Linked DNA regions of Kluyveromyces lactis. The protein of the gene in region 1 purifies or fractionates together with the protein of each later gene. This does not show direct contact. Links are inferred from orthologs where the notes say so. Each region holds a gene or a part of one and is shown in the gene's direction. Other genes may lie near its edges.

What was found.
Region 2: the proteins of KEX2 (region 1) and SIL1 purify together in Saccharomyces cerevisiae (affinity purification with mass spectrometry, with the first as the bait; 3 studies listed by BioGRID). This does not show direct contact. The link is inferred for Kluyveromyces lactis from reciprocal best matches to the Saccharomyces cerevisiae genes KEX2 and SIL1.

What each region holds. Positions count from the first base shown.
Region 1 is NC_006040.1:1,670,740-1,676,251, reverse strand, and holds KEX2 (kexin KEX2), read left to right. Parts: upstream 1-1,643; coding exon 1,644-3,914; downstream 3,915-5,512. Other genes in the region: iron-sulfur cluster assembly protein NAR1, read right to left, coding at 1-845; YTP1 (Ytp1p), read left to right, coding at 4,380-5,512.
Region 2 is NC_006042.1:741,831-746,609, forward strand, and holds SIL1 (Sil1p), read left to right. Parts: upstream 1-2,326; coding exon 2,327-3,799; downstream 3,800-4,779. Other genes in the region: KLLA0_F07887g (uncharacterized protein), read left to right, coding at 135-443; cystathionine gamma-lyase CYS3, read left to right, coding at 638-1,813; OPI10 (Opi10p), read right to left, coding at 3,893-4,621. UniProt on the Saccharomyces cerevisiae protein: Required for protein translocation and folding in the endoplasmic reticulum (ER). Functions as a nucleotide exchange factor for the ER lumenal chaperone KAR2.

The sequences.
Region 1 (5,512 bases):
CTACTGCCTTCGTTACTTAACCAGTGAAGTTTATAATCCCATCCGCTGGGACATAACTCTTTTGATGAATCATATTCCGTCATGTAACTCTTGAAATCTATCGAAAGATCTCCGAGCATTGCTACAAATTCCTTTGGTGTTATCACACAATCTACTTCTTTTTCACATTCTTCTCTAGATGCCTCTAGTTTTTTATCAAAACATGGCATTATGCTCAAGTGGTAGCATGTTGGATCTGCTTGTTTCAATAGATTGCCTGTTATTTGCTGAGGTGATTTCACATCTAACATATGAGGTATTAATTCTGGTTTCGTTTTCTCTGCATACAACACAAAACCGGGACAAACACTACACAAAAGAGGGCCTTCATTTTCCGGAACCCTGTCTTTTAAGGTTGCGTTTATCCGGGATATTGAAATAGACCTTCCAAACTGGGTACCAACAACATATTTCGCATTGAACTTGGTTTTCATGAAATTTTGGAAACATCGATCGAGGTCTGCAAGGCACATAGAGTAATAGTCAGCCAACGAAAGTCTACATTGAGGAGATATGCTGACAGCTAGAGATCGTTCATCTAGTTCTTCCAATTCGCTCCATTTTTCTAAGAACACCTTATGGCTTTGCTTCGATAATAAAATCTCTTCTGATGAAGTAATGCAACCAGCACAGGCTAAACAGTCTTGCAAACTGATCGATACCTTCTCAGGCTCACTAGATTCAATGCCAACTTCAACTTCAAATGATGGTTTCTTCTCAACCTTTTGAGGTTGAGCTGGTTTCACACACGCCAAACCTGGGCTTATAAAATCGTTCAAATCGGCATCCCTAAGTAACGCACTCATTGTTTCTTTCTATCTTAAAGATCCTCGAAAAAGAAGCTAAGCAGTAGTAGTGTTTTCAAATAAAATAGTCCTTAGTATGCAACTTGAATCGTTTTTGGCTTTGTATTCTGAACGTTCTTATATGGGCTTCTCTTATGCTACTCTGAGTCCATCACAATGAAATCACTTACTAATAAATCCTCTGTCTCAGTTTCTCTTATAATTTCTTTTGAATTGACTAATCAATATGTCAACATCGCAAGTGTCATGAATAACATATTCTCATTCACGTGACTAAAACTTGATAAAGATACCCGCCTTTGATTTTGTTTACGGCAGAAACTGAGAACAATTATTCTCACCGCCGACATGCTTTCGGTTTGGATTTCTGCTTTAGCATTGAGGTTGAAAATTATATTATTAGATCAGTGCCAAAACTGTGATGTTTTATTATGAACTGAGACATCAGTCGAAAAAGTGGACATAAGAAAGAGATATAGTGAAAGAAATACAAATAAACCCTGCACTTGGCTTTGCTAGAGGTTAAACATAGAAGACCTGTTAACGATTAGGTACGTTTAGAAGACTTTCTTATCGAATCGGGTTGCTCTTTCATGTGTTACACGTCTTTTATACAGCATAAAAATAAAGGCCATTCCAAAAAGTTGTACAATACTAAGGGTCTAGTACAGCTAGACAAATTAGGTGCAATCTCTAAATCAGGATATCAGCTCTACGCCGGGCAAGTCATTGAATAAGATTTTCCACTTACTTATTACCTTTTTCCCTTAATATTCCTTAATTTTCAGAACGATAGTTATGATCCTATCGTCGCAGCTCATGCTAGCTTTAATAGCAGTGTCAGGATACGGTAAAGCAATGCAAGTTCCTAAAAAAGACCACGAAAATAGGCAGTATTTTGCAATTGAATCTTATGATGATGTAGGTAATCTACTAGCGGAACACAGTGACTGGAGTTTCGAGCACGATGTTCGAGGCCTTGCCAATCACTATGTGTTCTCGAAACCGTTGCAGAGTTTGGGTAAACGAGATGCGATTGACACAGGATATTCAGAAAACATCATTGATTTCCACGATCTACCCCCCGTTCAGTTACACAAAAGATTGCCTATTGGGGATTCTAGTATGGAACAAATCCAGAACGCTAGAATTCTTTTCAATATTTCTGATCCATTGTTTGATCAGCAGTGGCACTTGATCAATCCAAACTACCCTGGAAATGACGTTAACGTAACTGGTTTATGGAAAGAAAACATCACTGGCTATGGTGTAGTGGCAGCATTGGTGGATGATGGATTGGATTATGAGAACGAAGATTTAAAAGACAATTTCTGTGTTGAAGGTTCTTGGGATTTTAATGACAACAACCCATTGCCGAAGCCAAGGCTAAAAGATGATTACCATGGTACCCGCTGCGCAGGTGAAATAGCGGCTTTCCGTAATGATATTTGTGGGGTTGGTGTCGCCTATAACTCTAAGGTATCCGGTATCAGAATTTTGTCAGGCCAGATCACAGCCGAAGATGAGGCTGCTTCATTAATTTATGGACTAGACGTTAATGATATTTACTCTTGCTCGTGGGGTCCATCTGATGACGGTAAAACTATGCAAGCGCCGGATACATTAGTAAAAAAGGCAATCATAAAAGGTGTAACAGAAGGACGAGATGCAAAAGGTGCACTATATGTATTTGCGAGTGGGAATGGTGGTATGTTTGGCGACAGCTGCAACTTTGACGGCTACACAAACTCTATATTTTCTATCACTGTAGGTGCCATTGATTGGAAGGGCCTACATCCTCCATATTCTGAATCATGTTCTGCTGTAATGGTTGTTACTTATTCTTCGGGATCAGGAAATTACATAAAAACAACAGATTTAGACGAAAAATGTTCCAATACGCATGGAGGCACTTCAGCTGCAGCTCCTCTTGCAGCTGGTATATATACTTTAGTGCTGGAAGCTAACCCGAACTTAACATGGCGAGATGTACAATACCTCTCAATATTGAGCTCTGAGGAAATAAATCCGCACGATGGAAAGTGGCAGGATACAGCTATGGGAAAGCGTTATTCTCACACATATGGATTTGGAAAACTTGATGCATATAACATTGTCCATATGGCAAAAAGTTGGATCAATGTAAACCCACAAGGTTGGCTTTACCTTCCTACAATCGTTGAAAAACAGTCTATCAGTAATTCAGATGAAGTTATAGAATCCACAGTCTCAGTTTCTGCTGAAGAGTTTAAACAAAATAACCTAAAAAGGTTGGAACATGTCACTGTAACTGTCGATATAGACGCACCTTACCGTGGACATGTCTTAGTAGATCTAATATCGCCTGATGGAGTTACATCTACCTTAGCGACAGCTAGACGTTTAGATAAAAACCGCTATGGTTTTCAAAATTGGACTTTCATGTCTGTCGCGCACTGGGGCTCTAGTGGAGTTGGAAGCTGGAAATTAAAAGTAAAGTCTACGCATGATAATGAAATTGTAACACTCAAATCTTGGAGATTAAAGATGTTTGGAGAAACTATCGATGCAAAGAAGGCCAAAGTGATATCATATGGAAATGACAAAGAGGATGCTGAAGTTAAGAGTACCGAATCTAAAACCACAACTCCCACTGCACAAACTTCGTCATTCACGACGACTTCTGGAGAAGAAACATCTGGTGCAAATAAGTTGCCTCGTCCCGAACAGGCTGCCCAGTTATACTTGGCAATTTTTGTCATTGGTGCGATAGTCATCATAATTTACTATTTGTTTTTCTTAAAATCAAGAAGAATAATCAGAAGGTCTAGAGCAGAAGCTTATGAATTTGATATCATTGATACCGACTCAGAATACGATTCTTCGATTAATCAAACTGCAGAGTCTATATCTGGTGAAGTAAATGATGATAACCTTGAAGACTTTAACTTCGACATAAATGAAGAAGAGCTCTCACCCCGTGAAAGTTCAAGCAATAATCCTTTCGGGAATGAATCTCTGGAATCTTTCGACAATTCTCCTGATCATACAAGCAATTTACTAGGGCAAAACTCGATTCCCAACAAATAGAAAGACATAGCATAACCAGTTCATAAGAGATAAATCTCAAAATACTGACGTTTTCATATAGAAAGATAGGTTTTTAGCCTCGAAGTCATATCGCTTGATGTCCAATGATACAAAATGAGCTAAAATGGATGGAATTGTTGCATCATCAACATACTGTAGGCGAATCTAGGATTCATTTTCAATCATGAAATAAGAAGTAACAATTTCCGCATTCTCAAAAAAATGAATCAGAAGTGGAACATAAAAAAAAACATGTAAAACTAGCATAGTTTAAGGTGATTATAGTTAATGGGATATAAAGGATTCTGACATGTAGTTCATTAACAGGGACAGTTCCGACTCACGATTTCACTGCAACGATTAAAAGGAACTCATTCAATTGTGATTAGGGTTAAGGATCTATTATCTCAGTTATCAACTACTTCTATTTTGACGTCGTCCAAGAGTTTAGGGTGGAAGGGTGTAATGACAATGTCTCGTAACTATCTGTGTCTTTTGACCTGCATGTCTCTGGCGGCTGCAATGAATATGGATGATATAGAGGAATATACAAGACCTGAAATTAACGCAGCAGGTAGCAAAACCTTCCATTGGTTGGCATCAATGACCTTTTTGCTTCTATTACCGTCTTTTTCAACGACTTTAACATTTGGCGGTAAAGTGTATTCATCGTTATTCTTCCAATCAATAAGTTGCGCTTACTGCTTAGTAGAAGCATTATTTTTGAGGTTCCCTGATGGAGATGGTATCGAAAACAGGACATCCAGAGGTTGTTCCTGGGCATTACTGTTGTTATCCGGTCTTACTTTTCTAACCGGTGCTATATATACAGGATCGAACTTTCTGTTGTTCAATGACAGGATCAAAAGCGCCTTGTCTCATATAGCTTCAACAAAGGTCGAGATTGCCCATAGAGTGTTATCTCTGTTATGTGTGCTAGGGGGTTGGGTGAAAATCTGTCTCGCGCCTGTTGCTTTGTTTGGATTTTGTCGTGGAAAACACACCGGTCAATGTATCGCTCACGGTATTATGGGCACTGCTTTTGTTCTGTATGGATTCGTTTATGTGACAGTGCTTGTACTTCCTTGGTTGAGGAATAACAATGGGAAATACTCACAGGATTTCTATGACAGTTGCGTTATGTGTGCCTGGGGAATTGTTAACACTTTCACAGAACATAGATGGGGAAGAGAAGAATGGAACCATGGAGACTATCAACACACTGCAATGGGGATCATTTGGTGGGCTGGTGGACTTGTCGGGATATACCTCTCTCGTGACGGTAGCAGAACATTTGTGCCAGGACTGCTCATTATTGTTACTGGCTGGGCAATGTCGGAACATTCACAGAAGCTTATCATCAGCACAAAAGTTCACTATTTGTTTGGGTTAGTTCTCATGAGCGGTGGAGCTCTACGTATTATTGAAATTGCCTTCTTGCTTCGTGATCGCAGGACTGATAAACATATACACTCATTTCAGTACCTACCACCGTTTTGTCTAATTTGTTCAGGTATATTGTTTATGGGCGCAAACGAAGAACAATTAATTTTAGTTTTGAGATTAGGTGCAGATCACGGTGCATATAGTCTAATTCT
Region 2 (4,779 bases), on another chromosome or scaffold:
GGCTGACAATATACAATTGAGTTGTAAATATAACAATCACGTGACATCAATCACGTGATGTTTATTTATTTATTTTTTCTAGTTATTCCGCCTCTTGCCGAGATGACAAATTTCTATTCAACTGTGGCTCTACTATGTCTTCTGGAGCTCATTTCTTTTCCATGAAAATATGTGGCGCTTTGTTGATGATATCGCATGTTCACGTGCAATTGTACAGACACACAGGCAGCTCTAGTGACAGACAGGGAGGCAACTTACAGAAATGGATCCAAAGGCCAAGGGAATTCGATTCCAATTGCGGATTTGGTAAGGCTGCTTTGGCTGCTTCGTTTTGGGTCTCGAATGACAAACGAATTTTTCCCACTGAGTTCTCTCATTTCTTTCCTGCATTTGAGCTCGCATCTGCAAGAACTGGAACTTCTGGAGGCACAGTTGATTTATAATGCTCGAGGGTTCTTCTTACTCATTTGATATATATAAGAAAACTTAATTCTAATTAAACGTTACCTATTAATTATACTGATTCTGTCTATTTAAACCCTTTCTTAGTTTTAATCATAGCTAATCATCGCAGGTAGAATTTTAGTTGTATCTGGTTCTAAGTTCCACAAGAAAGTGAAAATAAGATATATTTGAAATGGGTTTGTTACCAACTGATAAGTTTGCTACAAAGGCTATTCACGCCGGTACTCACGTGGATGTTCACGGTTCTGTCATTGAACCAATTTCTTTGTCTACTACTTTCAAGCAGTCTGCTCCAGCTCAACCAATTGGTGAATACGAATACTCTAGATCTCAAAATCCAAATAGAAAGAATTTGGAAGATGCCATTGCTGCTTTGGAAAATGGTAAATACGGTTTAGCGTTCTCTAGTGGTTCCGCCACCACTGCTGTGATTCTACAATCCTTGCCACAAGGTTCTCATGCAGTTTCTATTGGTGATGTTTACGGTGGTACTCACAGATACTTCACCAAAGTTGCCAATGCTCATGGTGTTGAAACCACTTTCACCAACAACTTGGTAGCTGAGTTGCCATCTTTGATCAAGGAAAACACTAAATTGGTTTGGATTGAAACCCCAACTAACCCAACTTTAAAAGTTACTGATATCGAATTAGTAGCCAAGACCGCTAAGTCCATTAATAAGGATATCCTACTGGTTGTTGACAACACTTTCCTATCTCCATATTTGTCTAACCCTCTGAACTTCGGTGCTGACATCGTCGTCCACTCTGCTACTAAATACATTAACGGTCACTCTGACGTCGTCTTGGGTGTCTTAGCTACCAACGACAAAGTCATCTACGAAAAGTTGCAATTTTTGCAAAACGCTATTGGTGCCATTCCATCACCATTTGATTCTTGGTTGGTACACCGTGGTGTCAAGACTTTGCACTTGAGAGTTAGACAAGCTTCTTTGTCCGCTCACAAGATTGCTGAATTCTTATCCTCTAACGAAAATGTCATCGCAGTTAATTACCCAGGTTTACCAACTCACGAAAGTTATGCAGTCGTTAAGAAACAACACCGCGATGCTCTAGGTGGTGGTATGATCTCCTTCAGAATCAAAGGTGGTGCAGAAGCTGCTTCTACCTTCTCATCTTCTACCAGATTATTCACTCTGGCTGAATCTCTTGGTGGTATCGAATCCCTATTGGAAGTTCCTGCCGTCATGACCCACGGTGGTATCCCAAAGGAGCAAAGAGAAGCATCCGGTGTTTACGACGATTTGGTCAGATTATCCATTGGTATTGAGGATACAGATGATCTATTGGAAGATATTAAGCAAGCTCTTGCATCCGCATCCAACTAATATTAATTTTCGATAAAACACCAGAAACACCCTTCCACATCAATGAAGAAAACGAGAGCACGTTAATTAATTCATATGCGACAGCATTTTCAATGGCAGGGTTTTCAACCCCCATCTATTTGCTTTAATAGGTCCACTTCTGTTATTGTACGGATTAGTATATAGAATTTTTTTTTATCTATCTGGCTATACTAGCTCACGTCTTTGATAGACTCTTTATCTATAATAACCCAGAATCACTGTTTTGATAGAACATTCACTTCTCACTGACGGCAGGTAGTAGCCTTCAAAATCCAAACCAATCTGTCACTTCTTTCTTTCCAACCTTGAAGTTTAGATGTGCTGTCATATTCTGTTCATGCCGTGAAAGATCTAAAAATAATAAATGACAAACCGTGTCTTGCCATTTCACGCACACATAACAGCTATAGTATCGTTAGAGTGGATTATCCTCTACCGGATTCATAGGTTCACACAAAACCACACTATCTAGATAGACCATCAGGTTTCGATATGAGAGTCAAATGTGTAAACAGAGCCATATATGTGCTGACGGTGCTACTTTTTTCTAGGCTGGTTGTTTCTCAAGTTGTCCTAACACCATCTAATTCAAATGCTGATCCGAAACAAAAAGATACAGCAAATACAGTTGCTGCAGTGGAAGCTAATAATGACGCTAACATAGCTAAGAAAGACGCTGAATCAGATCTAGTTATTGGAGATCATTTGGTCTGCAATACAAAAGAATGTTATCCCATAGGATTTGTACCCTCTACAGAATGGAAAGAAATCAGACCTGGTCAACGACTACCTCCAGGACTTGATATTAGAGTAAGCCTAGAGAAAGGTGTTAGGGAAGCTAAATTACCTGAACCAGGATCCGAGAACATTGGTAATGAGGAGGAAGATGTGAAGGGTTTGGTACTTGGTGCAGAAGGTTCGACCTTATCTGAATCTGAATTGAAAGAAACCTCAGAGGATTTGGAAAATGAGCAGAGTGGATTCAAATTGAACAATGCTGAAAAAGAGAGCGATATTCTACAGCAAGAAACTGATCTTAAGATAGCGGTGTCGGATAACGCTGAAGCAACCTCTAATGAACCTGCGGGGCACGAATTTTCTGAAGATTTTGCCAAAATAAAATCCTTAATGCAGTCACCAGATGAGAAGACGTGGGAAGAAGTTGAGACTCTTCTTGATGACTTAGTTGAGTTTGCACATGATTATAAAAAAGGTTTCAAGATTTTGTCAAATGAGTTCGAATTATTAGAATATCTTTCTTTCAACGATACTCTTTCTATTCAAATTAGAGAGCTGGCTGCTAGGATAATCGTCAGTTCGTTAAGGAATAATCCACCAAGTATTGATTTCGTGAATGAAAAATATCCACAGACCACCTTTAAATTGTGCGAGCATCTTTCTGAACTTCAAGCTTCTCAGGGCTCAAAATTACTTATCAAGAGGTTTTTATCTATACTTGACGTGTTGCTGAGCCGCACAGAATATGTGTCCATAAAAGATGACGTTTTATGGCGCTTATACCAAATTGAAGACCCATCTTCTAAGATCAAGATATTAGAAATCATTGCCAAATTTTATAATGAGAAAAACGAACAAGTCATTGACACTGTGCAACAAGACATGAAGACAGTGCAAAAATGGGTGAATGAATTAACAACAATAATACAAACACCAGAACTAGATGAACTTCATCTCAGATCCTTCTTCCATTGCATCAGTTTCATAAAGACACGTTTCAAAAACCGTGTCAAAATAGATTCTGATTTCTTGAATTGGTTAATCGATGAGATTGAAGTGCGCAATGAAAAATCGAAAGATGATATTTATAAAAGAGATGTGGATCAACTGGAATTTGATAATCAGTTAGCCAAAAGCAGACATGCAGTTTTCGGTAACCCAAATGCTGCCAGACTAAAAGAGAGACTCTTTGACGATGATGACACTTTAATAGCCGATGAGCTATGAGTGATTGACAGCGAAATACATAAATTGGCATTACGTTATTAGATAGAATTTAAATTGGAAAAGTCTATGTAATTTATTTAAATAACGGTAGTCTCAGTCCTTTGTAACCTCATCCAAGAAAGTTGCATCGTTTTGCAACCTTACTCTGAACTTTTCCCACCATGTATCAAACCTTTTGATGGAGACGTTCCCTTGAGCATCGACAAATCCAGTTAAATAATTATAAGCATGCTGAACGATCTTCGCAGCCAATTCTTGTGTTACCACAGGATATTGTTTCGCAAGAGCTCCTGCAGTTAGGATTTGTACAGAATTCTTAGATAGTACCATTGCACCGGCACCAGCGCTCGAACTCAATGCAGCTTGCTCCGCTTTCCACTGCTCAAGCTTGGCAGTGGCATCATTTCTTGGTTCAATGGAAATTCCTATGATTAACTGCGAAATATTGTGATTTGCGTTGGCACCATTGAGGTCATCTGTCATTACATCGTCTTCCATATCAATTTCACCTAATCCATCTGAAGGGTTAGCTGTCACACCATTCCCAACATTGGCCTGTGGAAGTTTTACCTTAAAAATTGCACTCGGTTTCTCATTACCCAAGTATCCAAATAATTTGAAGTCCTCCGCTGGATTTAGTTTAAAATACACTGTCGCAAGGAATTCCTGAGGGAATGTTACGTTTGGTAGTATAAACAAAGTGATATGTGAGTATGATTTTGGCTTTGTTGATGATAATACTATTGTATGCTGCAAACCATTAGAATTAGGTACTTCAGTGGATAATTGTAAGGGGTTCCCGGAGGCGATGGCAGCAAACATTTTACAATTCCTGTTTGCTGTACTTTGTCAGAGTGTGAGTAGATAGGAGTACCATTTTCTTGGAACAGAAAGCCGTCCTACAAAGGTTGTGTGTGTTTTCCCAACTTCTTTTATGTATGTATCCTTTATATTACTTGAACTTTATATCATTTTCTTGC